Linked DNA regions of Astyanax mexicanus. The protein of the gene in region 1 purifies or fractionates together with the protein of each later gene. This does not show direct contact. Links are inferred from orthologs where the notes say so. Each region holds a gene or a part of one and is shown on either strand. Other genes may lie near its edges.

Region 1 (16,109 bases):
AGTGTGGCTCCTCTGTGCTGGATGTTCTACTGAGCTCTTCCTGGAGGCATCTACAGATCAGATCAACAGCAGCTCTGTATTATTACTTTTGCTTTTAAAATACAGGATAATAATAATAATACATTTAATCTTGCAGTATCCGTCTCTACTCTTCTCTAAAGGTCTTTTGGAACATTGTTACAAACATTGGAACATTGTTACAGGTTACAGTATTAATATTTTTTAAAAAGAGCTATAGTTACTGCTCTTAAACTTTATTTTCACTTCGCATGCAGTGTTTTAGGAAGTTTTATCACTTTAGAAAATGCTGAATAAATGATTCTGTATTCAGGACAGATTCTGGGCTCATCTGGGGGACGAGAGGAACTTTTCTCAGAGCTTTGGATTGATTGCGCAATTCCATTTGTCTATTTTCTGAGTGAATAATTGCTGTTTGCTATTGTTTTTCTATTTTATTCCGATAAAAACACTGAGGTACGATGAGGAACAGCAGCAGGAGCTCCTCAGATAAAGTGCTGTTTTCATTTTTCTCCAGGTAGGATGGAGCAACATGAGTGTTTGACTTCACAGAGCTGAGCAACCAGTGTGTTAGCTTGTTATGTCAACATAACATGGTGGCATTATTTGAAAAATGCATGCCAGTTTTAATTTCCCTCGGGTACACTCGATGATACCACCCCGAACTACTGTGTATATATAGAAAAATATATTTGTATAATAGTTGTGTGTGATATTGGAATGTGTTGGTACCTGCGGTGTGTGTGTTTCTGTGTGCTGGTGAGGGGTTGATAAGGTATCTCTGGGCAGGTCTCCTGCTGGGGCGACTGATCTTAGCCACATTAGCATTAGCATTAGCGCCGTTGAGGTAGAGGGTGAAGCCCTGCTCCAACTGCTCCAACTCAGACTGCTTTGGGTCCTTAACCTGCAGCTTCTTCAACGCTCTGAGAGAGAGAGAAAGAGAGAGAGTGATACAGAGAGAGAGAGAAAGAGAGAGAGAGAGGGAAAGAAAGAGAGAGATATGTTAGAAGATGGTAAACTAATGGGGCGCCAATTGATCCAGTGGTCTTAAGTGCTGCCACTATGATCGGGAGCTCGCTGATTCGAATCCCAGTCAAGCAGCTTGCCATCAGCTGCCGGAGCCAGAGGGTACAGTACAGTAGATGGCGCACTCTCTTCCCCTCATCACTCCTAGGGTGATGTGGATCAGCACAAGGCTGCGTCTGTGAGCTGATGTATCAGAACCGAGTCGCTGTGCTTTCCTCCGAGCGTTAGCGCTGTGATGCTACTCGGCAATGCTGCCGCATCAGCAGCAGTTAAAAAAGAGTCTGACTTCATGTGTCGGAGGAGCAGAGTGTAAGACTGGTGGAAGAGAACATGATGCATGAAAAAATTGTGATTAAAAACCAGGGTTATTCCACCAAATATTGATTTCTGAACTCTTAAAACCTTATCAGTATGAACTTTGAGGTCTGAAAGCTCTGCATCTTTTTTGTTATTTCAGCCATTTCTCATTTACTGTACTGTACTATCGTTGAAAAGGGATAGAGTATTGTAAAACTAAATATTCTAAAACTATATCGATATTTTCATACACTCTCTTAATAGCTGTATCATAAGTAATTTGCACAAAATAGAGAAAATCTAAATTGTCATATCTCCATAGGAAATGACTGGTCATCTGACAGCATACCTGTCAAGTTTTGGACTTAAAAATAAGGGATTTTTTCCGCCGCCCCAACAGCCCAAACGAGGAAAAAAAAAAAAAAAAATATATATATATATATATATATATATATATATATATATATATATATATATATATATTTTTTAATATATATATATATATATATTTTTTTATTTATTTAATAGATTTAAAATTGAAATTGAAGGGTGCACAAATTTACAAAAAGGACATGGATCAGATATATTCCATAAGTAAATAATAGTCCTAAGGGGCCTACACAATTAATAATCTTTCATTAATACTTCTTTCTATCGTTCAGTCCACTCCTGATCAGTTCAGTTAATTTCAGCCCTCTCCACATTTTCTCTCTCTCCAGCTCAACCATCTCTTCTACCCCTTCTAAATAATACATTACATTACATTATAATACATTACCACAATACTTGAGATTTAAACAAATTCTAACAAACCCTAAAACTAGCCCTGAACTAATAGAGTTTGGAAATGATAGTTATTGGCTGATCAGGCACATCAGGGCAGGGCATTATATATATATGTAGATTTTTCTCAAACCCTGAATATCTATCTAGCTAATTCTAAAGTTAAGCTAACTGAGTCACAAGCTGTATTTTATTAAACACACAGTGGGTTTAATTTATGTTTTGATTCAGAGAAGAGTCTTTTTAACCAGCTATCAGAAACAATCTCATCACAGTTTACATGGTTAATTACCTTTCTTTTAGAAAAATCTCCGTATATCCAGATTAATTTTAACGACAGCTGCTCCGACTAGCTGCCTGAACTCACAGCGAGGGGAGGGGCGGGGCTTCCCGCACACTAAACTGCGCTCCGCAAAACCAGCTAGCTGATTGGCTGTTTCTCCTGAAAGGCGGGACTTTCTCCTTGAACCGGCACCACGATTGGTTAAGAGACACACAGCGGTCAGTGCATTGTCGCCTGTGGCCTATATATTTTTTTATTTAGTATAATACGGGAAATTTACGGGAAAATACCAATACGGGAGGACGGCGGGAAAGAGGAGTAAAATACGGTAGTTTCCCGGCCAAAACGGGAGACTTGACAGGTATGTCTGACAGTTTGTCGCTTGCTAGTGTGAAAGCAGTGTAACACTGAGATCTATCAGTGTTATCCAATCACAGGGATGTGTGTGTGTGTTCCACTGTAACAGTATCCATCTACTTCACACCAGTGTTAAAAATGGGGTCACACTGAACCAGCTCTTGGGTCATCTAACCTGTGTGTGTGTGTGTGTGTGTATCTGTGTGTGTGTGTTTTCACCTGTTTTTGTGCTGTAGGCTGATTAAATATTCATCCAGGTGATCTTCAGCAGAGTGTTGTTTTCCTGCCTCGATTTTCCTCACCTCCTAAACACACACACACACACACACACACACGTTCCATTTCAGTATTACATTATATTTATCCTGGTGTAAAAGGTATTAACTACTAGCTGTAGTAAACACACACAGGATGGGCTATTAAATAAAGTGAAAATGGACACTTTTGATTGAAGCAGAGGATCTTCTTAAAGCGATACATGAGCCAATCAAAGCTTCTCCTTACCCCCAAAAATAAGAAGTTTAGTCAAAATAAGATATTTGGACAGTATGAAACATGCTAATTAAATAACATAATGTATCTTTCATTTCCTTTGACTTTAAATAGACCTTTTTTATAATGATTACTGATGTTGCTATAAAACAAAGGAAGAAAAGAGAAACAGAAGTTCTGAAGCTTACAGAGCTGGTGATCAGTTATCCAAAGTCTCCAGAAATAAAAAAAGAGAGGAAGAACAGGAGTTCTGGAAAAAGAAAAAGAGAAGGAAAGAAGAGTCTGAGCAAGGAGGAAAGAGAGAAAGAGAAAAAACACTGAAATTCTCTGTATTTACTCTACTGGATATGGAATCCTTTAGAACAACGTCTAGTAAAACTGCCCCTTACAAACTTTCAGTAATCTAAACTCCCCAATACTACCCTATACTCCTCTATACTACACCAATACTCCCTTATAGCGCTGTATACAACCTTACACAATTTATATTCCCTCATAATACTACTACATACTCCCTATACGTTCACATTACCCCTTACAAACTAATAGCACCCTAAACTCCCTAATACTACCCTATACTCCTCTATACTACCCTATAAAAAACTATACTCCCTATACTACCCTACACTACTTACTATTACTACCCTATACTCCGCTATACTACCAATACTATGTTATAACCCTGTATAGTACCCTAAACAATCTATATTCCCCTCTTACAAACTTAAAATACAATAAACTCCCCAATACTACCCTATACTCCTCTAAACTACCCCAATACTCCCTTATACACCTACATATAACCCTACAAAATCTATATTCCCTCATAGTACTATATACTACATAATCCTCTACCATACCCTATAAAAAAACTATACTCCCTATACTACCCAAAACTACATTATACCTCTGTATTCTACTCTACAAAATCTATATTTACCTCTTACAAACTTGTAATACCCTTAACTCCCTAATACTACCCTATAATCCTTAACACTACCCTATAAAAACTATACTCCCTATACTACCCTATGCTCCTCTATTCTATCCAATACTATATTATACCCCTGTACACTACCCTACACAATCTATATTCCTCTCATAGTACAATATACTCTCTATACATTCTCTATACCTATACTACTAACTCACAATATTTTATACTACCCTATGCTCTGTATACTACTCTATACTCACTATACTCTTCTATATTACCCTATACTGCCCTGTGCTCCCTAATACTACTATACAGCACCCTATACTTCCTATTCGTTCCCTATACTCACTATACTGCCCTGTGCTCCCTAATACTACTATACAGCTCCCTATACTTCCTATTCGTTCCCTATACTCACTATAATGCCCTGTGCTCCCTAATACTACTATACAGCACCCTATACTTCCTATTCGTTCCCTATACTCACTATACTGCCCTGTGCTCCCTAATACTACTATACAGTACCCTATACTTCCTATTCGTTCCCTATACTCACTATACTCTATACTAACTATACTCATATATTACCCTACACTACCATATGCTCCTTAAACTACACTATACTAGCCAATATTTCCTATTCATTCCCTTTACTACACAATAGTCTATAATTCTATCCTATATTCTCTACACTGCCCTACACTATCTGGTACTCCCTATACTACTCTATACTGTCTTATACTCACTATACTCTAATATTACCCTATACTACCATATGCTACTTAAACTACTCTATACTAGCTTATACTTCCTTTTCATCCCCTATACTTACTATACTCTCTTATGCCACACGCTACTCTGTAATTCTATCGTTCACTTCTTTACACTGCCCTACACTATCTAATACTCCCTACACTACTCTAAACTGTCCTATACTTACATATGGTCCTTAAACTACTCTATACTAGCCTATACTTCCTTTTCATCCCCTATACTCAATTTATATTGCCCTAAACTACAATATAAAACCAATTTTTAAAGGATGCTATATACATTCTGCTATATACATTCTGATGTGCGGTGGATGACTCACCCAATAAAATATAACTGTTGTAACTGTTTCTGAAAATGATTCTGCTAAAATCAGGTCAGATTGAATCTCATCTATCTGCTCTTTTCAATGACTCTACTAATTACGGTCACCAGTGTTGTCTATAGTTTATCTATGTAACAGTATTGGATGGAAACACGGCTTATTTCTCATTTTCTCTCTAATTTCTTAACTAAATATAATATTTGAGAGGAATCCCAGCTATTGTGGAGCTGCAGGGTTTTATTTTACACCATAATCAGACTGTAACACACTAAAGCTCCTGTACTGAAAGATACAGGATGGATTCAGAAGCTCCACTGCAGCTGCTCAGTACAGAACCTCCAGAGTCATTACTTCACTAACATATGAAATTTTTAACACGAGCATGGGTTCTGCTCCTCAGCTGTCCTCCGTACTTCCTTCAGTGACAGTCCAAAGATATAACACACCGTCACATCAACCATACACTGTATAGTTAATTTTATAATAAAAACAATTGTTATTGCAGCATTACATACACAGATCATGAATGCATGCATTTATTTACATTGTAAATAATTGTAATTGTTTGTGGCCTACTTGTTTTTTTAATCTCGTGTAAAACGTAATCAAAATTTCCAATATAAAACAATTATTTGTTTCATTTCCAGTCAATTAGTACAAGTTCTGCAATGTCAGGTAGAAAAAGCAGAAACCCTTATTAAACAAATGACTAAGAAGCCTTAACAGCTAACTTTAACATACGATATTTGAGTGTTTAATGAATCCAACTATTATAAACTTTATTAGAGTTTCCATTATTTTTAGAAGACTAATTGTCAGTGTTTTTAAAGAAATATGCAGAGAGAGAGAGTTAACCTCACATTCTGCCCAAGTTCCAAAGCACACCACCTCATCTGTAAACCATGGTGTTGGACGTGTTCTTCTTATACAGGGATCCAAATCATACCAACACTTCTGTTAAACATGGTGGTGGAAGTATTCCTCAGTTTATCACAGAGGATGTCTCCAAGCTGCACCATTTAAGGCGTTTCAAATAAAATACCACCTCATCTGTTAAACGTGGTGGTGGAAGTATTCTGAAATCTGCAGAGAAATTCTTCCATAACTCATGAACTCAAGTTCATTCTTGACCTCTATACGAACATTTAATGACGCAGAGGTCTGAACTCTAGTGTGGGGAGTCCATTGTTGTGGATGTATTGTCTCCACATTGTTTATTGTTCATTGTTGTTGTCTTTGCCTACTTTAATAAACACATTGTTTTGCATTGTGTTGTCTTGTTAAAACAGAAGAGTTAAACTTGGTGTTGGATGGTCTGCCAGGTCTTGCAGGGGGTTGTCAGGGGTTTCTCTGTTTTGTAAAGTCCTATTGGCTTTTTCCTTTAATGTGCCAGTCTTTTGTTTGATTTAATATCAGAAACATATCTTGAAATAAGGATTTTTTTTTTGTTTTAAAAAAAATTTAAGAAAAATAAAGTGCCCTCTGTGTGCATATAGAGACTATGTGAATAAAACTGTTGCATAAACTCTTAACAGCAAAAAAAAAAAACATATACACATGCTCACAACAATGTTACTGAGGCAAATTTATTGGATTTTAAAGCTGACACACAAAACTAAGCAGATATCTCAAAAGCTCCGGAGCTCCGGAGCTTACCGCGGGGCTTCCCTTACCTCACTCCCCGCCGAGAGTCTCTGAGAGCGGCGTTCAGCTGCCCCTGTATCCCGGGGGTCGAAAAGGGGTGAAAACGCAGTGATAATAAAATGTTAGCAGCCTGAAATGTTTAAAACTGCTTAAAAATAATACAATCTATAGTAAAACAGCTCTAGTTTACTACAGTATTTCTTTAAAAAAAAATAGGAAAAGTGCAGCGGCCGCGATCCAGCTGTTAGCGGAAGATGCTAGGGAGGTTCCCCGCGGAGAGCGCTCCCTACGCCGGCTTACAGCGGCAGGACACACCGCGGCTGGAGGCTGGGCCCGGCTAAGCTAAAATATATATTTTTTAACACTTTTTAATGCAAAAGAAGTGGATTATTACATTCTTTTACTAAATTCTAGTAAAAAGTTGCTTTTTATCATAAAAAATATAGCCTTGTTGAAAAATATGTTTTTGGAATTGTCCGTTCCACCTTAAATGGGCAGTAGTTGCTGCATTCTGGCGTCTCAGGCATTCTGAAGCACCAGAATGCAACTGCTGCCCCATTTAAGGTGGAACGGACAATTGCAAAAACATAGCCCAATTGCAGCTGTTGGCCTACTTCAACAGCTTTACAACGCAGCACACCGACTCCAAACAACCGCCTATACCTATCTATATCAATCAATAATCAATTATCATACGTTATAATCGATTTTAGATTAAATCTACTCGTTATTGAAAACCGTTCACTCACAGTCCATCACATCTTATCCTCCAAACGGCGCTCCGCACGCGACTTCTGTTGTGGACAGATGGAGACGGTAACTAGGAGGACCACGGTCCAATCAGAAAGCAGCATACACCGTGGGCACGCCCACTCTCATAAACATGCATGGACACCGACCAATCGGAAAAGGCGTAACCTGTGTATCCAGGCGGAGACCACTTACTGTTTGGGTACATCTCAAACCTTTCCAAGTGCACTACATAGTGCACAAGCGTAGGGCGTATTGTAAATGCTTCTGCAGACTGAATAGTGCACTAAATAGTGTTAAAACATTACTAGCACTGCAATAGAAGATATAATTGTGCAGCATGTATTAGCATGCATGTAGTACAATGAGTCAGTCAGTTGCTATTTTGTTGATTATGTAGTGCACTATGTAGGGAGTGAGGAGGAAAAGAACACACCCTCAAGAAGGGATAGTTATTATTGGCTGTGCAGTAAAAACTAACTTACTTTTATCATTTTTGGAAAATTTAAAGCAGTAAAACTGGAAAAACCAAACCCTCCTCACCCTAGAGTTCAGACCTTAGCCTCATTAAATGTTTTCATAGAAGTCAGATGTTTAAGAATGAACGTGAGTTCATGAGTTCCAATGCAGTTGCATGAGTTCCAATACTTCCACCACCATGTTTAACAGATGAGGTAGTATGATTTGGATCTTGTGTTTTGTGTATGCAATAAACCTGGAAAAATAGACAGAGTGTGAGGAAATGGCTCCTCTAGACAAGCAGATACTAAAGACTCTTTGATTAACTCATTCTAATCTGTTAAAAAAACAATGCTAAATAAATATGACCTGATTCTAAGATGCTGAAATGCTATCTCAGCTGCATTCAGCTTGAAAAATAACCTGGGTGTTACAGATATTATTTTATTTTTAGCACAAATGTTTACACCTTCTCAGACTTCTTTTCCATTTCAGATGAAGAACGAAAAAGGTAAGCTGGTGTATTCAATGAATCTTGTGCTAAAAGCCTTGTAGACTTTACTGTTTTCAAACATATCTGGTATAAACAAACCTGAACAATTTAAAACCTTGTCTTTGGGGACTATTACTTCTACATAGTCCTGCATGTATTTGTCAATTTTTTTTATTGATGTTTGATTTTAGGATTAAGTTTCAGTTCTTCTCAAAATCTTCTCAAACTAAAGTTTTACATACATTTCGTCCCATTAAACCACTCATTAAGGCTGATCACTGATTGGTGGAAACTTCACACTAGACCTCGAGCAGTTTGGACTGTGTGTCTCTCCACTCTTCCTCCAGACTCTGCTCCCTTGAGTTTCTTTAAATGAAATGTAAAATGTACTGATGATCAGTGATGGTTTGGAGAGTCATGTCTGTCATCTGCTGGTGTTGATCCACTGTGTTTTATTATCAAGTCTAAAGTCAGTGCAGTTTTGTTTTCCCACAAAATCTTACAGCACTTCATATCTTACAGCTTCCCTCTGCTGAAAACAACTTTTATGGAGATGCAGATTTCATTTTCCAGCAGGACTTGGCACACTGCTCACACTGCAGAAAGTACCAATTGGTCTTATATAATTTTCTAATTTTCTGAGACTCTGATTTTTGGGTTTTAATTGCCATCATTATCCACAATAAAGAAATAATATATGAGTTTCACATTTTCAGCTGAATTAGTGAAATAAAGTAGCTTTTCAATAATATTCTAATTGCACCTGTATTAGCCTTGTTAATACATGTGAATCACCCAGTGTTTTCTGCACCTCCAGCTCTGAGGGAGTTTTTTACTCTGTTCATCACTGGAGGTTCTGTGTTGTATGTTAAGTCTTTTGTCTGATTCTCTGTCCTGTAGTTGCTAATGCTGCTGCACCCAGCCTTAGTGGAAATCTGTAAATCTCAGCTTATTGTAAATAAACAGAAGTGCTTTACTCACCTCAATAATCAGTTTTCAGGAGAGAAACCTGTGTAGATTATCATCCAGCGCTCGTTTGACATTTTTTTTAGGAATTACAGTTTTGTTTGTTTAGCTTAGCTTTAGCTTAGAAATGTTGAAAAGTTGAGCAGATAAAACACAGTATATGTTGGGTATGTGTGTCAATATGCAATTATATAAAAGTTAAAGACAATGTAAAAAAAGTGCTGCATTTTTTCACTGGAGGTCTCTGATACTTCACACTATAAAACACAAATAAATGAACAGAGCTGGTTTGCGTGGTCACTGCCCAATCTCACACATTTTATTCGTTATAAATTGTAGCATTTTATATAAAACCAGACAAAAGGAATCTGAAATGAAACCACGGAGAATGAAAAACTGTAAACCGCAAAAATAAATCACAGCAGACAAACCTGACCGCAGAATAACCGGCATCACCGGGAGCTGAGGGGTGTGTGTGTGTGTGTGTGTTTTATGTCATAATAACCAGTAATAACCAGCGACTCTAAAACCAGCTGCTACAGTTAACCGTTTAAAAGCAGAAAGCCCTGATCTCTCGTTCTCTCGCTCCCTCCGTCAGCCTGACGCAGGTCGGCTACAGCGCTCTGCTGCTGCGGCGGGTGGGGGGGTGGGGTTATATAACGAGGGTGGAGGTGAAGGAGTTGCATCGTCGCTGTTTAGAGGGGGTAAGGAGGTGCGATTGGTGTCTGATCCAGGAGGAAACCCACTGTGGGGGTGTGATAGAGGGGCAGACCTCTTAAAAATACCAAAATGAAAATTACAAAATAAAACAATAACTTAAATAGAAGTGCTTAAAAACACAATTTGAGTTTTTTGGAGCCCTTTCAGCAATAAAATAAACAGTTCAGGGGAAACGGGGAAGCCCATCCCAATAAGAAGAGCCTGAAAATAGAAATCATCATCATCATCATCATCATCATCACCACCAGACCAGAACGGAAAGTAAGGGTCTTGGGTAATACTAGCATCCACCCTCAGAGCATCAGTCACGCCCCCGTCCTCCGCCCGTCTCCCGTCACGCCGCCCCGTCGAGGCTGCAGTCTGTGATGGCGTCTGTCTCGGTGTCCCGCCGCTGATGCAGCTCCTCCTCCTCCTGGTTTCTCCTCCTCTCCTCCTGCTCCTCCCTCTCCCGGCGCCTCCTCTCCGTCTCCCACTCCACGAAGGAGTCGAAGAGGCTGGGCCACGCCTCGTCCTCGCTGTAGTTGCCGAGGTCGGGCCCGATGCTCTGCGTGAAGTTCAGAAACATGTTCCAGGTGTCGCGTGAGATCCCGCGCACGCCGTACGGGTTATCCGACAGGAAGTGGAGCCAGCGCTCCAGGACGGGGGGCGTGTCCAGCGTGAAGACCAGCCTCCACAGCGCAATGGCGATGGAGTGCTGCAGCGAGCGCTGGCCCTCGTCCGCGTCCAGCCCGAACTGGAAGGTGAAGCGGTACAGGTCCTTAAAGCTCTCCTCGCCGCGGGACTCCTCCAGCAGCACCGGGAACCGCAGACAGATCCCCTGCAGACTGTCGGCCTGGATCGCCCGGCAGCCCTCCACAAACTCCCTCCTACACACAAACACACACACACACAGAGAGACATCAGCTCATTACTACTCTCTATCAATAATAAATAACTGATAACACACCTATCATACTATTATTACTGCTTATCTTCTAAAATACAGTACTAACATATCATTTTCTGATTTATTTATTTAAAAGCATCATTTAAACACATCAGTGGAAATTAATTATGTGTATTTTCTGTGTGTCCATGTATAGATAAATAAAGACATATACAAATTACTTTTGTATGTAAAATGGTGTTAAACTTGTGTTTATTGTGTCTGTGTTTATTATTTATTCTATAATTGCTTTTGAAAAGTTGATAATTACAATTAATGTAAAAGACACAGAGAGATACAAAGAGAGATAGAGAGAGATACAGATAGAGAGAGATACAAATAAAGAGAGAGAGATAGAGATATACAGAGCGAGAGAGAGGCAGAGATATACAGAGCGAGAGAGAGAGAGAGAGAGAGAGAGAGAGAGAGAGACCAATACAGAGAGAGAGTGAGAGAGAGAGAGAGATAGAGAGACAGAGAGAAAGAGAGAAACCAGTCAGAGAGAGATACAGACAGAGAGAGAGAGTGAGAGAGAGAGAGAGAAAGAGATACAGACAGAGAGAGAGAAAGAGAGAAACCAGTCAGAGAGAGATACAGACAGAGAGAGAGAGTGAGAGAGAGAGAGAGAAAGAGATACAGACAGAGAGAGAGAAAGAGAGAAACCAGTCAGAGAGAGATACAGACAGAGAGAGAGAGTGAGAGAGAGAGAGAGAAAGAGATACAGACAGAGAGATGGTCTTAACACCTCAGCAACAAACGCACACACAAACGCACACACACAAACACACAAACACACAAACACACATTTTGGCTGCAGAGCAGAAGTTGTGACCACTTCCTGAGATTTCAGTTAGATCACTGATCTCTGAACAGAAGAACTTTATCTCAGATAACAGAGAGAAAGAGAGAGTTCACACTGACACTCACTGTTTACCAACATACTGGAGTCCTACTGTCTACATGTGCATTTGCACATCTGTGTCAGTAATTAGTGCAACTTAAAGTAACATGATCATGATAGAGCGCCCCCTACACTTCCTGTAGTGTATTACAGTCTGTCAGAATGAGCGTGTGGATCATATGAACATTATAGAGCATTATAGAGCGCCCCCTACACTTCCTGTAGTGTATTACAGTCTGTCAGAATGAGCGTGTGGATCATATGAACATTATAGAGCATTACAGAGCGCCCCCTACACTTCCTGTAGTGTATTACAGTCTGTCAGAATGAGCGTGTGGATCATATGAACATTATAGAGCATTACAGAGCGCCCCCTACACTTCCTGTAGTGTATTACAGTCTGTCAGAATGAGCGTGTGGATCATATGAACATTATAGAGCATTACAGAGCGCCCCCTACACTTCCTGTAGTGTATTACAGTCTGTCAGAATGAACGTGTGGATCATATGAGCATTATAGGGCGCCCCCTATGCTTCCTGTAGTGTATTACAGTCTGTCAGAATGAACGTGTGGATCATATGAACATTATAGAGCGCCCCCTACACTTCCTGTAGTGTATTACAGTCTGTCAGAATGAGCGTGTGGATCATATGAACATTATAGAGCGCCCCCTATGCTTCCTGTAGTGTATTACAGTCTGTCAGAATGAGCGTGTGGATCATATGAACATTATTGAGCATTATAGAGCTCCCCCTACACTTCCTGTAGTGTATTACAGTCTGTCAGAATGAGCGTGTTGTGGATCATATGAACATTATTGAGCATTATAGAGCGCCCCCTACACTTCCTGTAGTGTATTACAGTCTGTCAGAATGAGCGTGTGGATCATATGAACATTATAGAGCATTATAGAGCGCCCCCTACACTTCCTGTAGTGTATTACAGTCTGTCAGAATGAGCGTGTGGATCATATGAACATTATAGAGCATTACAGAGCGCCCCGTACACTTCCTGTAGTGTATTACAGTCTGTCAGAATGAACGTGTGGATCATATGAGCATTATAGAGCGCCCCCTATGCTTCCTGTAGTGTATTACAGTCTGTCAGAATGAACGTGTGGATCATATGAACATTATAGAGCGCCCCCTACACTTCCTGTAGTGTATTACAGTCTGTCAGAATGAGCGTGTGGATCATATGAACATTATAGAGCGCCCCCTATGCTTCCTGTAGTGTATTACAGTCTGTCAGAATGAGCGTGTGGATCATATGAACATTATTGAGCATTATAGAGCGCCCCCTACACTTCCTGTAGTGTATTACAGTCTGTCAGAATGAGCGTGTTGTGGATCATATGAACATTATAGAGCATTATAGAGCGCCCCCTACACTTCCTGTAGTGTATTACAGTCTGTCAGAATGAGCGTGTGGATCATATGAACATTATAGAGCATTATAGAGCTCCCCCTACACTTCCTGTAGTGTATTACAGTCTGTAAGAATGAGCGTGTTGTGGACCATATGAACATTATAGAGCAGCGTTTCTCAACCTTTTTTCTATCACGACTCCATTTAAAATTATGCAAAATCCCCCCGCCCCCAGTTTACAAATGGGGGCGGGGGGGGGGGTTGGGGGGGGGTTGCTGGCGCAATACTTCAGGTGAGAACGAGGAGAGTTGCTGGCGGAATATTTTATTTCAGGTGAGAAGGGGGGGTGGGGGGTTATTTACAATTAGCGCGAAACCTTCAGACTTTTCAAACGAGTGAAATACTCTGCTACACTCACTGCTGAACTACCACTGGATGAAGAAGTTAATGGCTCTGATTCAGAGTTATCTGAATCTGCAATCTTCTTTTAAAAAAAACGTTCCATGCGAGCTTGAGCGCTTTACACTACTCTCGCAGTGCATCGCGTGGGGGACAAACTTTACAGTGTGTCCCAATTTAGGGGCCGCATCCTTCGGAGGCTGTATTCGAAGACATTGCGTCACAGCTGCGCAGTAATACACCGCCTATCTCTGTGGGTCGCATCCTCCAGAGTATGCTGCCTGTGAATTGGGACACACCCCGACACGAGCTGACTCTGGAAAGGAAATATGCACGTGATGCGCAATATTTTGACGGCACCCCCGATGAAGCCAGACGGCACCCCAGGGTGCCGCGGCACCCTGGTTGAGAAACACTGTTATAGAGCATTATAGAGCACCCCCTATGCTTCCTGTAGTGTATTATAGTCTGTCAGAATGAGTGTTGTGGATCATATGAACATTATAGAGCATTATAGAGCGCCCCCTACGCTTCCTGTAGTGTATTATAGTCTGTCAGAATGAGCGTGTGTGGATCATATGAACATTATAGTGCATTATAAAGCGCCCCCTACACTTCCTGTAGTGTATTATTATTATCAGTACAACATATATTTTGTGTTATGTTGAAGTGAAATAATTACATTTCTTATATATTTATTTTTTACCTTGTAAACTTGCACATGGTAGCAGCCTGAAACTTCCACGCCAGAACCAGGACTTTAAACTCCGCCGGGTCGACGTGCAGATCATTACAGAACCGCTCCATTCCCTCTTCCAGAATAGCGTCCTCGTGCTCGTCTTTATACCTCATGAACATCTCCTCTATCCGAGCCAGAGACAGCCCCTCCCCTTCCTGCTCAGGCTCCGCCCTGCGCACGCTCCCTGGTGATTGGGGCGGAGCTACAGAGGTTTCCACAGTAACCTCCGGTGACTTTGTGCCGTTGACATCAGCGGGGAATTTGGACTCGTCTTTATGGCTGCCGGTCCCGCCTCCTCCTCCGCCTCCCTTTTTACCATGTGACTTCCCAGCATCCTTTTCACCACTTTTGCTGCCCAGAGAGGATGTGGGGTTTTTACATTTAGTCACGCACTGGCCCATGGTGCACTCGTGCCCCTCTCTCTCTTTTCCTCTCCTGCTCTCGCGCTTCCTCCCGACTCTCCTCCTCAGGCTAGACGCCGCTGCTCCTCCAGCCACTGGACAGCAGTCACCATGCCCTGACCAATCAGAGACAGAATCAGAGAGTCAGAAATTCAAAATCAGAGAGTGAAGAATCACAGAGAGAGAGAGAGAGAGAGAGAGAGAGAGAGAGAGAGAGAGAGAGAGACAGACAGAATCAGAATCAAAGACTCAAGAAACAAAAATTCAGATTCAGAGAGAGAAATCAAATCAAATCAAAGAATCAGAAAGAATCAGAATAAAAGAGTCAAAAATCACAAATTCAGAGAGAGAGAGAGTCAGAATCACAGAATCAAAGAAAGAGAATTAGAATCAAAGTCAAGAATCAAAAATTAAAAATCAGGGAGAGAATCAAAAATCAGAAATTCAGAATCAGAGAAAGAGAGAAATAAGAATCAAAGAGTCAATAATCAAAAAATCAGAATCAGAGAGAGAAATCAGACTCTCAGAGTAAGAATGAGAGAATCACAGAGAGAAAGTGTATCAATCACAGAATCAGAGAGAACGAATCAGAATCAATGACTCAATAATCAGAGAGAAAGAGAGAGAAACAGAGAGTCAAAAATCAGAAATTCACAATGAAAGAAAAAGAGATGATCAGAATTTTAATCAGAGATCAGAGAGTCAGAATCAGAGTCAAAATCAGAAATTTAGAATCAAAGAGAATAAAAAATTCAGAATCAGAATCATACAGTAAAGAATTATAAAGATAGAATCAGAATCTGACAGAGAATCATAGTCAGAATCAAAGAAACAGAGAAAGAGAGAGAATCAGAATCATCAATGTGACTCTTCTTTTGATGGGATCTGTTTGTTCGTTTGTATTAGTGACTCTTCTATAGAGTATCTGTGAATCAGTATTACAGGAATGTGACATCAGACCAGACATCACATTAAAACACCTACAGCAGTGATTTGTTACATTTCTCTTTGAGTCTATGAGTCAGATTCGCAAAACTCCCGTACCCTGTTACGC
Region 2 (15,170 bases), on another chromosome or scaffold:
CTAACAGACCTTTTTGGGAGTTCCCAGGACCTGGCAGATTTTGAAGATGGTGTCCACTTCACTGGAGCCCGGGAACAGAGGCCTGAGGGTGTAGAGCTCAGCCATAATGCAGCCCACCGCCCACTGGTCTATAGGGGAGCTGTAACTGGTGGACCTGAGGAGAACCTCCGGAGCTCTGTACCTGAAACACGAGCATACCTGTCAAGTTTTTCGATTCGAGCCGTCCCACCAGCCCAACCAAGGTTCAGTAACCATTACCGGTTTACCATAAATGTAAAATAACTACAATTAGACGATCAGATGATCTGACAGGTCTACCTTTGTTGACACTGAAATACTGTGGGCATTCATCCATATGTAATTCTTATAATACAGCCTAAATGAAAAAACTTTTCTACATATTTTCACAAAGTCAGGAATGCCCTTTCTCTCCTGGGTATGAACAGGATACAAATCTACAATTTGAGGGAATCATATAGATGGGGAGTTTATTTACATTAGTGGTGTTTAAAATTAAAATACTAGTATTTACTTGTATGTTTGAGGGGGGATAAAGCCAACGTGGGGCACTGGAATAAAGAATGCATGACTGCATAAATGTGTTTAATATTGCACACATGCTCACATTGGGGGGGATGATCATTTAAATGGCCTGAGGGAAAAGTGTACACTGTCCCTTTAAGAGACTCTTAAGGCCCATTTATACGTTTGCATTGAACCTATGGCGTAGCCTACACTTCGCTGCAGACCATACGCCAGAGCTCGACGCGCACCTCTCTAGAAATTTAACTACACGTTGCATAATGCAAACAACCGCAGCTATGATTGGTCCGCCAGGTCTCGCGTTCCCGCCTTCTGGTTTTAAACTGCAGAGCAATGCAGAGCCACTGATACACGCACGCAGATGTATAAACGTGCTCCACTGGGTAGCACACTCTCACTGGAACTACATGCTGTTCCTAGCGCTGTTAGCTCCTCCTATCTGACGAGACGGCGTCGCCGCCCAGCTTCAGAGCTTCAGCTCTGGCTGTGGGCGGGGCCATGAATACTAATTCACGGGTTGATGTAGACACGGTGCTTTTCCTGATCGACTCGTTTTTTTTCTGAATATTTTCTTTTACTAGCTGCTGCAGACAACGAGGAAGAGGCTGTGCAGCATCATAAACAACTCAGAGATACATACTGTATTTCACACACAACAAGAACAAGAGCATTTTAGCAGAAGAACACCGTTAAAAAGCTGTGATATTATATATAAAGTTAAGCTCACCATCTGGTGGATACGTAGTCGGTGTAAGGAGGGCGGGACCGGATCTCTCGAGCCAATCCAAAATCAGCGATCTTCACCAGCTCTGGACCCATACACAGAAGATTCTCCGGCTTCAGATCTCTGTGGAAAAAACCTGAAGAAAAAGTGTCAAAAATTAATCCGAGAAATCAGAGAATTTGTCCACACGTGGCAAACTGGAACATGAGAGTTCAATGATTTGGATTCGAACAGAGCAAATTATTTTGGCAATACAGTTTTGCCGGTTCTGTTAAGCCTCCAGATTTTACCGTGTTTGTGAATGAAGGCGAGTCCCTGCAGAATCTGAAACATGATGTTCCTCACCGCAGACTCAGGAAACAGCCGAGTCCTGGAATATTAGCAAAACAAAGTTAGAAACTGAAAATAAAAAAAAAAACACCAAATATGAGTTTCTGGTAGAGGTGGGTAATATGGTCCTAAAAACGATATCAATACTTTAGAGATTTTTTTTTTAATATTGTTGGCATATTCTAAAAAAAAAAAATATATATATATATATATATATATAATTTATAATAATACATATTTGTTTTTTACATTTTTTTTTAAATATGCCAACAATAATAAAAAAAAAAATCTCTAAAATATTGATATCGTTTTTAGGACCATATTATATATATATTTCCTTTAACTTCCTTTATCCTTTATATGTGTGCTATATCATATCGTACGCAATAATGTCGCCAACATAATATCGTGTACAATACAATTTCCTCTTTTTCCTATATTTACCTGTCCTTCATCAGCTGGTAGAGGTTCTCCTTCATGTACTCGAAGACGAAGTACAGATGGTCGTGTTCTCGGATCACCTCCTTCAGCTTGATCACGTTGGCATGGTTGAGTTTCTTCAGGGACTGGAGCCAAAATAAATATTATTATTATCATTAATATCATTATAACACATCTGCAGATTCACCAAACCCACGCATTTATATCAGAACAGATACGAGACAAGCGAAGGAGAAGATCCAGAGTTCAGTAGAGGTCATGCATCAGAAGGAATACAGGATTCAAAGGTTCAGATCTCAGGCTGGTGTTTGGCCATGAGTCTGTAGTGCAGAGTAACAGGACTGCGCTATCCTGAGCTTCTGTACGGTGGATTAAAATAGCAGGACAGGATTTAGAGCAGGAACTTTAGAACTAGAAGCACTGCAGTCTGAAAACACACAAGAATCACCTGCTCCTCCCACTGCGCTGCTGCAGAAACAAATAAATCATTAGACCACGTTCACACATCCCACAGGTCAGTGCAGCGTCCCTTAACCTCCACGTGACGTGGCAAAAATCATGGGATATGATAGTAATTCCAATTTACAATATGCTGGAATAAAATATTCTAATTTTGATTATTTACCTTCACCTCTCGCAGATTCATGCACTCCTCCCACGAATAAAACTTCCTCTTCATTCTGAAAACAGAGAAAACAGGACTTAAATCACACAAACTTTAATAAGAATAATAAGCCATAAGAGGCTACAGCACTATACAGTAAAAGCAGAGAATAATAACAGTGTTTCTGTATTCTGTAATTCAGTGTGATGAGTGATAATGCTGCAGGATTTAAAAAAAAATGATGTAAAATACGCTAAATTCATTTAAATGAAATGAATTTAAGGATTTTCAGCTCTTGGTTTGACTTGCTTATATTTCCCAGCATAAAAAATTAGTTGGTGTGTGTTTACTGTGGACCTCTACCTCACTCTACCTAACACACTACCTTACCCTGCCTCGCTTTACTTCTATCAACCTCACCCTGCCCCCTCTGCCTCACTCTACCTCACCCTACATTTCTGAATCAGCCGTGTTTCAGCCCACATAGTTTGATATACCCGCTGTGAATAAGAGCCGTAGGGGGGTAAGAAAATATCGATAAATCAATAAGTATCACAATAAGTGTATCAACTCCCAAAAACACATAATCGATAGTGTAAGAGGTCATAGAATGGGTGGCTTCTATGCTGTGTTGGGTGATAATTATAGGATGGTTGAATCTGGGCCAACAAAAAGGTTGCCAGATCCTCTGCAGTAAGCCCGTGTGTATGTATAATCACTGATTTGCACGTGTGCTCTTCAGAAGTGTCCGGATCAGGCGGTGGAACAGCGAACAGGCTGTGATCTGACAGCTGGCTTTACAGCTGTGGACCAATCAGAGCCAAGTGGTGCTGACCCCGCCCACTCAGCCGATTACTGAGGCATCTGTCAGGCGGCTGAGAGCTGGAATAGTGCTGGGTATTTTTAGCTGAAGGAGGAAGCGTGGGTGGAGGATCGGAGAGGATGAGTCTGTTATCAGCTGATCTATTGATTTATGAAGAGGGATCATCTATAGTGAGGCGGGGGCTGAGGGGGAGGGGCTACGCCGTTTCATTTCCTGATGAGTTTATGGGATTGGGGGAGAAGCGGTGAATGGTTGGTTGTTATGTGTGTTGTCCCAGTGTCTGTGTTACCATTTATGATCTTATGTGGATCCTAGAATGATGCACAAAAGCACTGGGAAACTTGCTCAATAGGGGTGGCCGATACCGCCCTAAAATAGTATTACGATATTTCAGGGTATTTTTGCAATAATATTATATTCGTGGGCTGCATGATTGCAGGATGTACAATGTCACATAAGGCAATTAAATCAAACACGTCATGTTGCAATCTATTAATTCTTGACACAAGAAGTAGATACACAGCGCTGTCTCTGTGTCTGTATGAGTGACAGGCTGCTGCTGCCTGAGAAGCACTAGTTGCAGCTACATTTTCGCTTTTAATCCCAGAAAAACGCTCCTATTTACCAATTAAAAAGCCACGTAAATGCCTGATTAAAGGGTTTAACTGTTTTCCTCGGTTTTGAGTGGGTGGGGGTGAAACAATTAAAATACATTGACTTGCTCATAGTATCACAATATACTGCATTGAATTGTAATGCCTGTATTGTGATACGTAATAGTAATGCCAAGTACTCGACGATACTAAACTCGACATAGCCCTAATCACATCCCAGGCAGTTGCTATGGTGGTGCTAAGTGGTTGCTCTGGTGTTGCTATACTGTATCTGTGTTGAAATAAATACACCAAATCTTTCCCTCCAGGAGAACCGCAGTCAGAGGAAGATGACGGATGCTTTACTCACTTCTTGATGGCGACGAGTTCGCCGGACTCCAGGCAGCGGCTGAGGATGACGGAGCCGTAGGTGCCGTCGCCGAGCTGCCGGAGGGCGGAGTAGCGGTTCATGGTTTATCCAGGCCGGACGCGGCCGCTGAGGAGCCGGCCGAGCGCAGCCACGTTTTCCTGTGACGGCAGCAGTGAAGCGGAGGCGCCGGCCTCATGGTGCTACGGGCTTACCTCCACCTGCAGCACAGCACATTAATAACAAGTTATTAAATAAAACACAGTGCCTTGCAAAAGTATTCAATACTTTTCAACCTTTTGCCACATTTCAGGCTTCAAACATAAAGATATAAAAATGTAATTTTCTGTGAAGAATCAACAAGTGGGACACAACCGTGAAGTGGAACAAAATTTAAAACTTTTTTTAGAAAAGAAAAAAAAACTGAAAAGTGGGATGTGCAATATTATTCGGCCCCTTTGCGTTAATACTTCGTAGCGCCACCTTTTGCTGCGATTGCAGCTGCAAGTCCCTTGCGGTATGTCAATCAGTTTTGCACACAGTTTTGGTATGCGAGAGACGCCAGTAACCAAGACGGATAAACGCGGATGAATCGTGTTTTCAGATATTTTAGATTAAAACGTTTGTTATAACTCTATTTTGAAAATCACATTAAAACTGTAATTCAAATTAACCAAATTAATCGTGAAAATCGCCCAGTGCTATGTGAAGTGTATGGACAGCATTAGCCAAATCAGTCTTCTGACACGCCCCTAAACCCATACATCACCCAGTGCCCCTCTCAAACTACTGTTCCCTGTATTGTGTTTTTTTTGGCATTTTTTTTTTTTGAGCTGAGGGTGGAGTCAGCTAAAATCAGGGGTTTAGTTACCCTGTAGTTAATAGATGTTATAGAGTAAAATACCAGCTTAAAAGACGTGCACTGGCTAAGTAGATCTTTTAAGTGTAAAACGTATAAAAACAACTGAAATAAGTCGATTACACTGATTGTACACATTGTACACATAAACTCAAATAACAGCTAACGTTACAACTACTATATTTATACAGAGAACAGTACAAAAACACCACCCAACGCTAAACATTATATATATATATAACAGTTATATATATATATATAACAGGAAAAGGGTCTACAGAAAAACAGCGGCTTTTAAAACCCTTTAAATGCCCGAATTATTCATCAATAATGGTTTTAATTAGTGTTAACCCGCAGTGTGAGTCAGTTACAGTGATTTAACATTAACCAGGCTAGCAAATTAGCTAACCTAGCTCCTTAAAACACCGATTTATATCAAATTCAGCTCACCAGCTGCACCATCACCGTTAAATCCGCATTATTTAATCCGGTTTACCTGTGTTTTCTGAGGAGTGCGCATTCCAGACAGTCCGATCTCTGTGTAAATCTAATAAACCCGGTTTAAAGCTCAGGCTAACAACAGCACACTCTCCATACAGTAGCTAACAACACTGCGGACGCGCTCCAATCCTCTCACACACTCCCTACAGCCGTTAAAAACACTGCGGGCGCGCTCCAATCCTCTCACACACTCCCTACAGCCGTTAAAAACACTGAGGACGCGCTCCAATCCTCTCACACACTCCCTACAGCCGTTAAAACACTGCGGGCGCGCCCCAATCCGCACATACGCTCCCTACAGCCTCCAATAACACTGTGGGCGCGCTCCAATCCGCACATACGCTCCCTACAGCCTGCAATAACACTGCGGGCGCGCTCCAATTCGCTCACACACTCCCTACAGCCGTTAAAAACACTGCGGGCGCGCTCCAATCCGCTCACACACTGCCTACAGCCGTTAAAAACACTGCGGGCGCGCTCCAATCCGCTCACACACTCCCTACAGCCGTTAAAAACACTGCGGACGCGCTCCAATCCGCTCACACACTCCCTACAGCCGTTAAAAACACTGCGGACGCGCTCCAATCCACACATACGCTCCCTGCAGCCGGTAACAAAACTGGGGCGCGCTCCAATCCGCGCACATGCTCCCTACAGCCGTTAAAAACACTGCAGGCGCGCTCCAATCCGCTCACACACTCCTTACAGCCGTTAAAAACACTGCGGGCGCTCCAATCCGCACATACGCTCCCTGCAGCCGGTAACAATTCTGCGGGCGTGCTCCAATCCGCACACACGCTCTCTATAGCCCCTAACAACACTGCGGGCGCGTTCAAATCTGCACGCACGCTCCCTAAAGTCGCTAACAACACAGCGGGCGCGTTCCAATCCACACACACGCTACCTACAGCTTCTAAGAACACTGCATGCGTGCTCCAGTCCACACACTTGCTCTCTATAGCCGCTAACAACACTGCGGGCGCGCTCCAATCCGCTCACATGCTCCCTGCAGGCGCTAACAACCCTGGGCGCGCTCCAATCCGCACACATGCTCCCTACATAGAACCGATAATAAATTAATTAATAAATACATTTTTATTTATTTGTTTGTTGATTAATGTATTTCTACCTTTATATTTTTACATTTATTTATTTATTTCCACATTCCTTCATTTATTTATTAGATGGTCCTATCCTCACTTAGACTTAATATTTCTGCCCTCCTGTGGACAAACTCAGTATTACAGCATCTCTGATTAAATAATAAATAATATTTAGATTTCTGCCCTCCTGTGGACAAACTCAGTATTAAAGCATCTCTGATTAAATAATAAATAATATTAAAATTTCTGCCCTCCTGTGGACAAACTCAGTATTACAGCATCTCTGATTAAATAGTAAATAATATTTTCATTTCATATCTCCTCTGGACAAACTCAGTATTGCAGCAATTTTTAATTAAATAAATTAAATAATTATTCTGCCCTCCTGTGGACAAACTCAGTATTACAGCATCTCTCCTTAAATATAAATAATATTTAAATTTCTGCCCTCCTGTGGACAAACTCGGTATTACAACATCTCCGATTAAATAATAAATAACATTACAGTATTACAGTAAATAAAATAAATAGTGATTTAATCACTCTATATGTTTTCATTCACATTCTTTACAATTTACAAGATATACAACAATTAGTACAAAAACAGTTTAACATTGCATTGTTACAGTAGAGACAGTTATTCCAACAAAAGCATCATAAACTCTTGAATTCTCTTGATTTCAGAAGAAATAATGAAAAAGCTGGTGTTAAATTTAAACAATTCCTCGGTAAAGTGCGAACAAATGTAATTTCTACACTGTTTTAGTTTTTTTAGTTAACTGAATGTTATAAGAACGTTTCTCAATGTTTTATACAACTTGCTCATCATTCCCTTTAGTCAGGTAGTCAGGTGAGCTCTGACTTTGGCAGATTCCTATTTTAATGCCTCGTTTTAAGTGTCAGGGCTCTCTGGATTCTATCAATGAGGTGTGGAGCTACTTTGAGCTGGATAACGGTGTTAAAAGTGACATTTTTCTGCAGGGGCAAAATATGCCCCATTAAGACCCATTCTAAAGGGTATTTGGACAAACAGAATAAAATTGCTGGATCTCGGAAAGCTGCCGGAAATAGGAGACGGGTTAGTACTCTTCATCATGTTTTACTACACCCAAAGTCAATTTTACACCGGAGTTCTCCTTTAAGCCTCAACATCAGAGAGGCTTTCTCTGAACCGTAGGTGGAATTCCAGGGTTAAGGCTCGTAGAAAGTCTATGTTCACGACTAATCACATGGTCCTGGTCAGTCTCTGTTTATTTCACAGCATGTCCTTCACCAGGTCTGGATGAACATCTGCTAGACTTCGATAGAGTTCCTGTGGTGACAGAGTTTTCCCCACTAAATTAAGTAGAGCCCTGGTTTTGGCCTGTGGAGTGCTCTGGTTTCTGATCTCATTTATGTTTTCTGAACAAATGAATCGAACCAGGCGATCCAGAATGGCGTCCACATTGGTGACCTTTTGGACCAGTTCATCCCAATTCCCGAGAAAGAAGTCCATGCCTGCAAGGAAACACAAAATCAGAGTTAGTAAATATTTATTCAGACAAGAAAGAAGCACTAAAACCGCATTTCAGAAACGCTCCTTAGTTTCCCTACAACCCAACATCACCCAACATTACCGTATTTTTCGTACTATAAGGAGCACCATCAATAAACGTCTATTATCTGATCAGTTTTTATACACAAGGCGCAACAGATTATAAATTTATCTACAAAGATTTCTTTCCTGAAAACTGTTTATTTGGGTGAGTAAAGCGCTTCTCTTTATTTACAGTAAGCTTAGATTTCCAGATTTACACTACGGCTGGGTGCAGCAGCATTAGCATTAGCATTAGCGGCTAACTGTTAGTGCTAGTAAATGTCACCCAACTGCCCTACACTAAGAAACTCTAAATGTGTTCCGGTAAGCTAGGGTGATATTAGCTAGGGGTTCATACTAAATAGCTTGTTTCAACATGGCAAAAGCGCAAACCACAGTCCGTTATACTCACGTCTGAATGGAGAAAGAGCTAACTAGTTGTTAGCGCGGTTAGCAGGTAATGCTAATGCTTCTCCACCAGTGCTAGTCGGAGTTAGGAGCAGGCTACATAATACTCACCTTTGAATGGCAAAAGAGCTAACTAGCACTAGCACTGTGGTTAGCGGGTAATGCTAATGCTGCTCCAGCAGTGCTAGTCGGGGTTAGGAGCAGGCTACAGGCCCCTAATACCAGCACAGTAAGCAGATAATGCTAATACTGCTCCAGCCTCCAGTCTTGGTGCGGGAGAGCTAAACTATAGAACTAAACTATAACACCGCACTGATGATTTGTGGGACAATTTAAGGATTTTAAGTGCATCTTATAGTGCGAAAAAAACAGTATATAGAATTTTAATTGACTGCAGTCAGTGTGAACCCAAAATATTTAATGTTTTGTCCAAAAATTTAAAAGACTTCCTTTGGAAGTTCCAAGGAAAATTCTTCTTAGCATCATAATTCCCAAATAAAGGCTCAACAAACATCTTCATATTGCACAATTAACTGTCTTTCAGCAGATATCAGCATCAGATTTCTGCATCTGTAGATATTCTGATTGGAAACAACAAAATAAATGGAGATCCAAATAAAAAAAGGATACATACATTTCTTTTTATCCGGTGTAGTGATCTTTCTCTGATAACCTGAGAGAGGTGAGAAAGGAAAACAGGTAAAAGATTAGCATTTACTCTCAGATTATGTTTTCAGTAATGTAAAGACCATAGTTTGCTGGTTTCAGGTGGTCTAAGATCAGGGTTCTTTAGTGTAGCGCTGTCGGGTGGCTAGCAGTTAGCCGCTAATGCTAATGCTCCAGCCTTAGTGCTGGAGAAATTCGATAACCTAAGCCTACTGTAAATAAACCCAAATGCTTTAATTACCCAAATAAACAGTTTTCAGGAGAGAAATCTGTGTAGATTAACATCCAGCACTCGTTTACAGTTTTGTTTACTTAGCTTAACTTTACTTAACTTAGTTGTCTCTTATAATCCGATGTATATTACATGTGCAAATAGACCACAAAATAGACATTCACTGATAGTGCGCCTTATAGTGCGAATAATATGGTACTATTACAGTTAATTTTTTAAAAACGTTCCTTACTTTCATCGGATGAAGTGCTTCTGTCCTGATATTCTGGAGAGAAACAAAAACAATGAGAAATTCATTAATTTACATACAGCTAGTATTTAAATACATATATACACCTGTAAAATATATCTGATTTATGGATGGTCTCACCTCTAAGGTCTGGTAAATCATATCCCCAGACCATTTTATCGGTGCCTTTCTCCTTTAGATGTAACTTTATGTTCATTGTGTTTCTTTCCAGGTGGATCACAAACGTTGGGTTGTCGGTGAAGATGTGTCTCAGGAAAAGACCGTCCTTTATGCAGCGATATAGGAAAAGGTACACATTCAGCACGTTATACAGATGTTAATCTGGTTTTGGGAGTTCATAGTCTCCCTACTCACACTGTCTTGTATTTTCTGCTGCCTTTCCTGTTGTTCTACATCTTCACAGGTCAGGTTGTACCGGTGTCCGTGTTTAAGGTTGGTGTCGAAAGCTCCTTCAAGACGTATACTGCCTTTTTTGAGTAGCTGCAAAACATTTATTTGCATTATTTCAGCTCAAAACCAAGAGTTGTGTACAGTTATAACTAGCTCTTTCAGGTAGAATACAAATGTATAAATGTCTTAGCATGGGCTAGAAATGGAATTAACCTAATGTTGATAAAAAATTAAAACATTTAAAAAGCATGTGTAAAAGCAAGTTCACTAATTCCTCATTTTCTCTTAATAAAGTCTTTATTTTAAATAAATGGTCGACTGCATGTTCAAATAATTGATATTTAAGACAAAAAAAAACACTCCTGTTACTAGAACTCACTCCTGTTACTTTTGATGTTATAAGTAGCAGGACTGAAAGTAACAGGAATGAGTTTTTAGCGTAGAATTATCAAAAACATGAAAAATAGCTAAATGGCGGCTATGCTAATAGCATGAGGACACTGAGCACATTCTAGAGATTTTCTGTTACAATAAGATCAAATATGCAGAAAAACTAATGAGGGAATTTAATTCTGGTCTTCCCATGATCTTCAGAAGAACCAGCTGATGATGTCACTTCCTGTTTTGGAGTCACAGAACAATTAAAAAAATAATTACAAAAATTATAATTATATTTCATGGTAAAGTTTATAGTTAAAGAGTGGGGAGAATGGGTAACAAATGCTATTTTTCAGTGTTATAATTATTTTTTATTAATATTTTAATTACATATCTTACTTTTACAATTAGGCCAATGTACAATACACTATGCTTAACAATAAAATGTATTTTGTGTGCACATTTATACATGTAATTTCTTGTTTAATGAAACAGTATTTTTTTTAATGGAATGAATGATCTTTAAGGACCTTACCTTGTGCAGGTCTGTGTTATGAGGCCGTAGGAACACGTGCAGCCGGTGTTTGGGTAGAGGGTAATATGTCAGTATCAGCTGTCCCCTGATTTTACCTTTAAACCAGTTCAGCATGTATTTCAGCTGAAACAGTGACAGTCCTGGAACCCTCACGCTCACATGAGTGTGTGTGATATAATCAGCTTTCAGGACCTCCACCTTCCCTTCAGTGTAATGCTCCACAGTCATGAAGCGACAGTCATCTGCAGGGAAATTAAAACAAAATAAAATCAAGCACAGTCCTCCAATCCAATTACATTGATCTGGATTAGGACAATAATTTGATAATGGTGTTTATTACGATAAGAAATGTTTCAATAACGATTATATCATTTTTTCAGTATTTTAATATGTATTATTTAGAGAATCTGTCATGGACAGGCGTTTTTTACTTGTCAGTTCGCTGCATTCAAGCAGAGCTGAACACAATCAGCCTCCGTAGCGGGGCTACGTCAGTGCGTGATGACGTAATCACACAGGCTAGGATAAGCTAAGCTAAGCTATGCTAGGCTCTAGCACAGGACATTTTAGATGCCAAATTAGTGCCTCTGATGGCAATACACAAGCAGGGTGCAAATTACGGGGGGTATTGGGGGGGATCAGACCCCCCGATTAAGACTTCAAGCCACTCTAAAGGGGTAAAAACAATAGTTTGGGGGGGTCAAAACATTTAAATATCCTTTACTAATTACAGGCAGTATTAATGTCTGGAAGAATACTGTGATACGATTTCAAACCCCCCCTAAAGTGGATCATACCATTTCATATTAATAATATTATATTCCTCTCGTTTACCTGCTGCTGCTGGATCATTATAGATCAGGTGTGTCTAAGTTAAGGTGCGTGAGCTGCTCACGCTACAGCATTACGTGTGATTAGCTTTATATCTACTTAGCTTTCTTAAATATGCACTTAAAACACACTGTTCCCTACATAAATAACTCACATGAATTTGCTATCCCACCTTAAATTCGGCTAATTTACGATTCCGCCTTAAATGCTGTTATACCGCTGTCCGTGTTTAAGGTTGGTGTCGAAAGCTCCTTCAAGACGTATACTGCCTTTTTTGAGTAGCTGCAAAACATGCTTCATAAGCTTCAGTAGACCTGGTCAGGAATTAGTTATTAGGCTTTTAGTATCTTTTTATTAGGCTACTTTGAAAATGAACAACATCCAAGCTTTTTAAAAGACATTAGCCTTAACATTTAATATTGTAGTCACAAAGTCAAAATATGTGGATGAGTTGAGGGACAAAAGCCTTATTTATCTACAGGGATTTTCACTTACATTGTTATTTTCTATTTATTTAGACTTAAATAACAAATGATTCCTGTGGGAGAGATCCTGAAAAATACGAATTAAAATTTAATGGTGAGAAAGCTGATGAAAGATAGTAGCCAACAGTAGTGTGTGTGTTTTTGCAGGATTAACTGTGGATTTTGCTGTATAATATATTATTTATATTATGACTACTATGAATACATCTAATCTGATTCATTCTTAGCAGTTTTTCTGAGGCCAAAGTAATATTGATATCGAAATTATATCGCATCGACCGAAATTAAGGAATATATCGCAATATAAATTTTGGTCATATCGACCAGCACTAATCTGGATTAATAATTTACCTGGGGAGATCTCGCAGTGGGGGAGCTGAAGATGAGAGAGCTGACCCCCGACACATGTGATATCGTACAGAGGACCTGCTGAATACTGATTGGGTGAAGCTGAGCAGCTGCTGTCCTCGTCCACAGTTCTGTACACCACCTCTCCTTCTCCATTCATTCTGAATCCCAGCCTGGTGAAAGAACAATGGAACCATCCGGCATGTTTGCACAGAAACCTGCAGAGCGAAAATCTCAAAGTGAGTCTTTTTTCTGTGATCTCAAGCAAAATCACTCCACTGTTAATTTTTACTCAATTTTATGATATTTATGATGATCATATTGCACATTACCTGTACTTCAATTGGCCCTCCTCAGTTATCACTTCTGGTGTAAATTTATTTTCACTTTCTGTCTCCTGTGAACATTAAAACATGATTAAGCTCTATACAGATATACAGTACAGTATTTTCTCAATATAAGATGCACTTAAACTCTTTTAATTTTCCCAAAAATCATCAGAGCTTCTTATAATCCGGTGCTCCTTATGTATGAATTCTATCAGTCAGGTATTAAGGAGCAGTAAAGCCACTCTGCTGAAGTACAGAGTTATACAGGAGTTTCAGATCAATTCTCCAGAACCGGGGCTGGAGTAGCATTAGCATTAGCATTAGCCGTTGACCGCTATTTCTCCGTTCAGTGGGGAGGATTATCAGACTGTAGCCTGCTCCTATCCCCAGCTAGCACTGCTGAAGCAACATTAGCATTAGACGCTAGCCACGCTGTGTTGGTTATCTCTTTCATCATCAGAGGTGAGTATTATCAGACTGTAACCTGCTCCTAACCCTGGCTAGCACTGCTGGAGCAGCATTATCATCAGCATTGGCTGCTAACCATGCTAAGTGTTAGTTAGCTCTTTCATCGTTCAGAGGCAACTATATTTAACTGCTAATGCTAATGCTTCAGTCTTAGTGATGGAGAAATTTGGGAATGTAAGCTTACTGTAAATAAACCGAAGCGCTTTACTCACCCAAATAAACAGTTTTCAGGAGAGAAATCTGTGTAGATTAACATCCTGCGCTCGTTTGACAGTTTTGTTTACCTAGCTTAGCTTTACTTAACCTGGTTAAGACCTGCTAAATAAGAAGTTCCTTATATAGTGGGAAAAAATACAATAAGATATATTTAATCTGGCTATTCTCTATAAAAAATAAAAAAAACATACCGTAACCATCTTTAAGAAGGACCGGTTCACAAGTGCTGGGACTATCAGGTGCATGGTCTTGTTCCTTGAAATCATGGTCATAATCCTCTCGGAGAACTCCATGGCCTGAGCTGTCCGAGTCCCAACCCCAGCAATGTAGAACCTGCCTCCACATTTCTGCAGGAGCCACTGCGCTACACTTCCCTTTAAGGAAGTGGTTTTATTAGTAAACAACACGATCACATGCTTCCAGAAGCTCCGACCAAAGATCTCCAGATCCTGTAGGACTGATCTGGTCTTCTTGAGTTGTCCCTCGTGAAGAAAGGCAAGAACGATGGCGTGGGGTCCAGGGGCAAGAAGGGACCGTTCTCTTGGGAGAATTTTCTTGGCATTGCAAAGATCAGTCTCAACCAGGCACACAGTTTTCTTAGCCATCGTTCCTTTTTGAAGCACTGGTCTTCCAAAACCCAGCACCTCCTCAGCACGGGAACGACTGTCTAGGATCACGTTTCTAGCACGTTCCTCTGCTCCCTTGAATGCTAAAAGCCAAACTCTTAGCTCTGTAAGCAGAGGACTTTCTCCTGTGAAATAAAAAAAAAGCAAATGCATCAATAGAATAATGAGGTACAGCACTAAATGTAAGCAAACGTTTGGATACACCTTCCCTTTCAAAGTATTTCAATGTTATTCTTCTTTTTTTTTAAGGCTTCTTCCAAAGATTGGGTGCCATTTCTGTCCCCAGATACATTTTATTATTAAGCATAGTGTCTTGTACATTGACCTAATTGCAAAAGTAAGATATGAAATGTTACCTAAATGAATTCTTACATCTTATTGGTTTATTTTTAAAATACAAATTGTGGGAAAACCACTAGAATGTTCTATGCTTAAAGCTAATTCCTGTTGCTTTCAGTCCTGTTACTCAAAACAAAAAAAGTAACAGGAGTGAGTGCCAATAACAAGAGTGATTTAATTGGTTTGTCATAAATATCAATTATTT

What was found.
Region 2: the proteins of katnip (region 1) and serine/threonine-protein kinase ICK purify together in Homo sapiens (affinity purification with mass spectrometry; 3 studies listed by BioGRID and IntAct, with this or other methods). This does not show direct contact. The link is inferred for Astyanax mexicanus from reciprocal best matches to the Homo sapiens genes KATNIP and CILK1.

The regions. Positions count from the first base shown.
Region 1 is NC_064413.1:56,171,057-56,187,165, forward strand, and holds the start of katnip (katanin-interacting protein), read right to left. Parts: upstream 7,769-16,109; 5' UTR 7,690-7,768; coding exon 7,683-7,689; intron 7,007-7,682; coding exon 6,963-7,006; intron 3,070-6,962; coding exon 2,984-3,069; intron 942-2,983; coding exon 751-941; intron 51-750; coding exon 1-50. Other genes in the region: dcun1d3 (DCN1-like protein 3), read right to left, coding at 10,656-11,187, 14,622-15,055. UniProt on the Homo sapiens protein: May influence the stability of microtubules (MT), possibly through interaction with the MT-severing katanin complex.
Region 2 is NC_064432.1:26,208,429-26,223,598, forward strand, and holds the start of serine/threonine-protein kinase ICK, read right to left. Parts: upstream 6,464-15,170; 5' UTR 5,781-6,463; intron 4,647-5,780; 5' UTR 4,530-4,646; coding exon 4,429-4,529; intron 2,719-4,428; coding exon 2,664-2,718; intron 2,164-2,663; coding exon 2,042-2,163; intron 1,638-2,041; coding exon 1,558-1,637; intron 1,404-1,557; coding exon 1,271-1,403; intron 182-1,270; coding exon 10-181; intron 1-9. Other genes in the region: interferon-induced protein with tetratricopeptide repeats 5, read right to left, coding at 8,144-8,385, 9,507-9,545, 10,003-10,035, 10,141-10,285, 10,375-10,500, 11,324-11,565, 12,991-13,205, 13,320-13,384 and 1 more.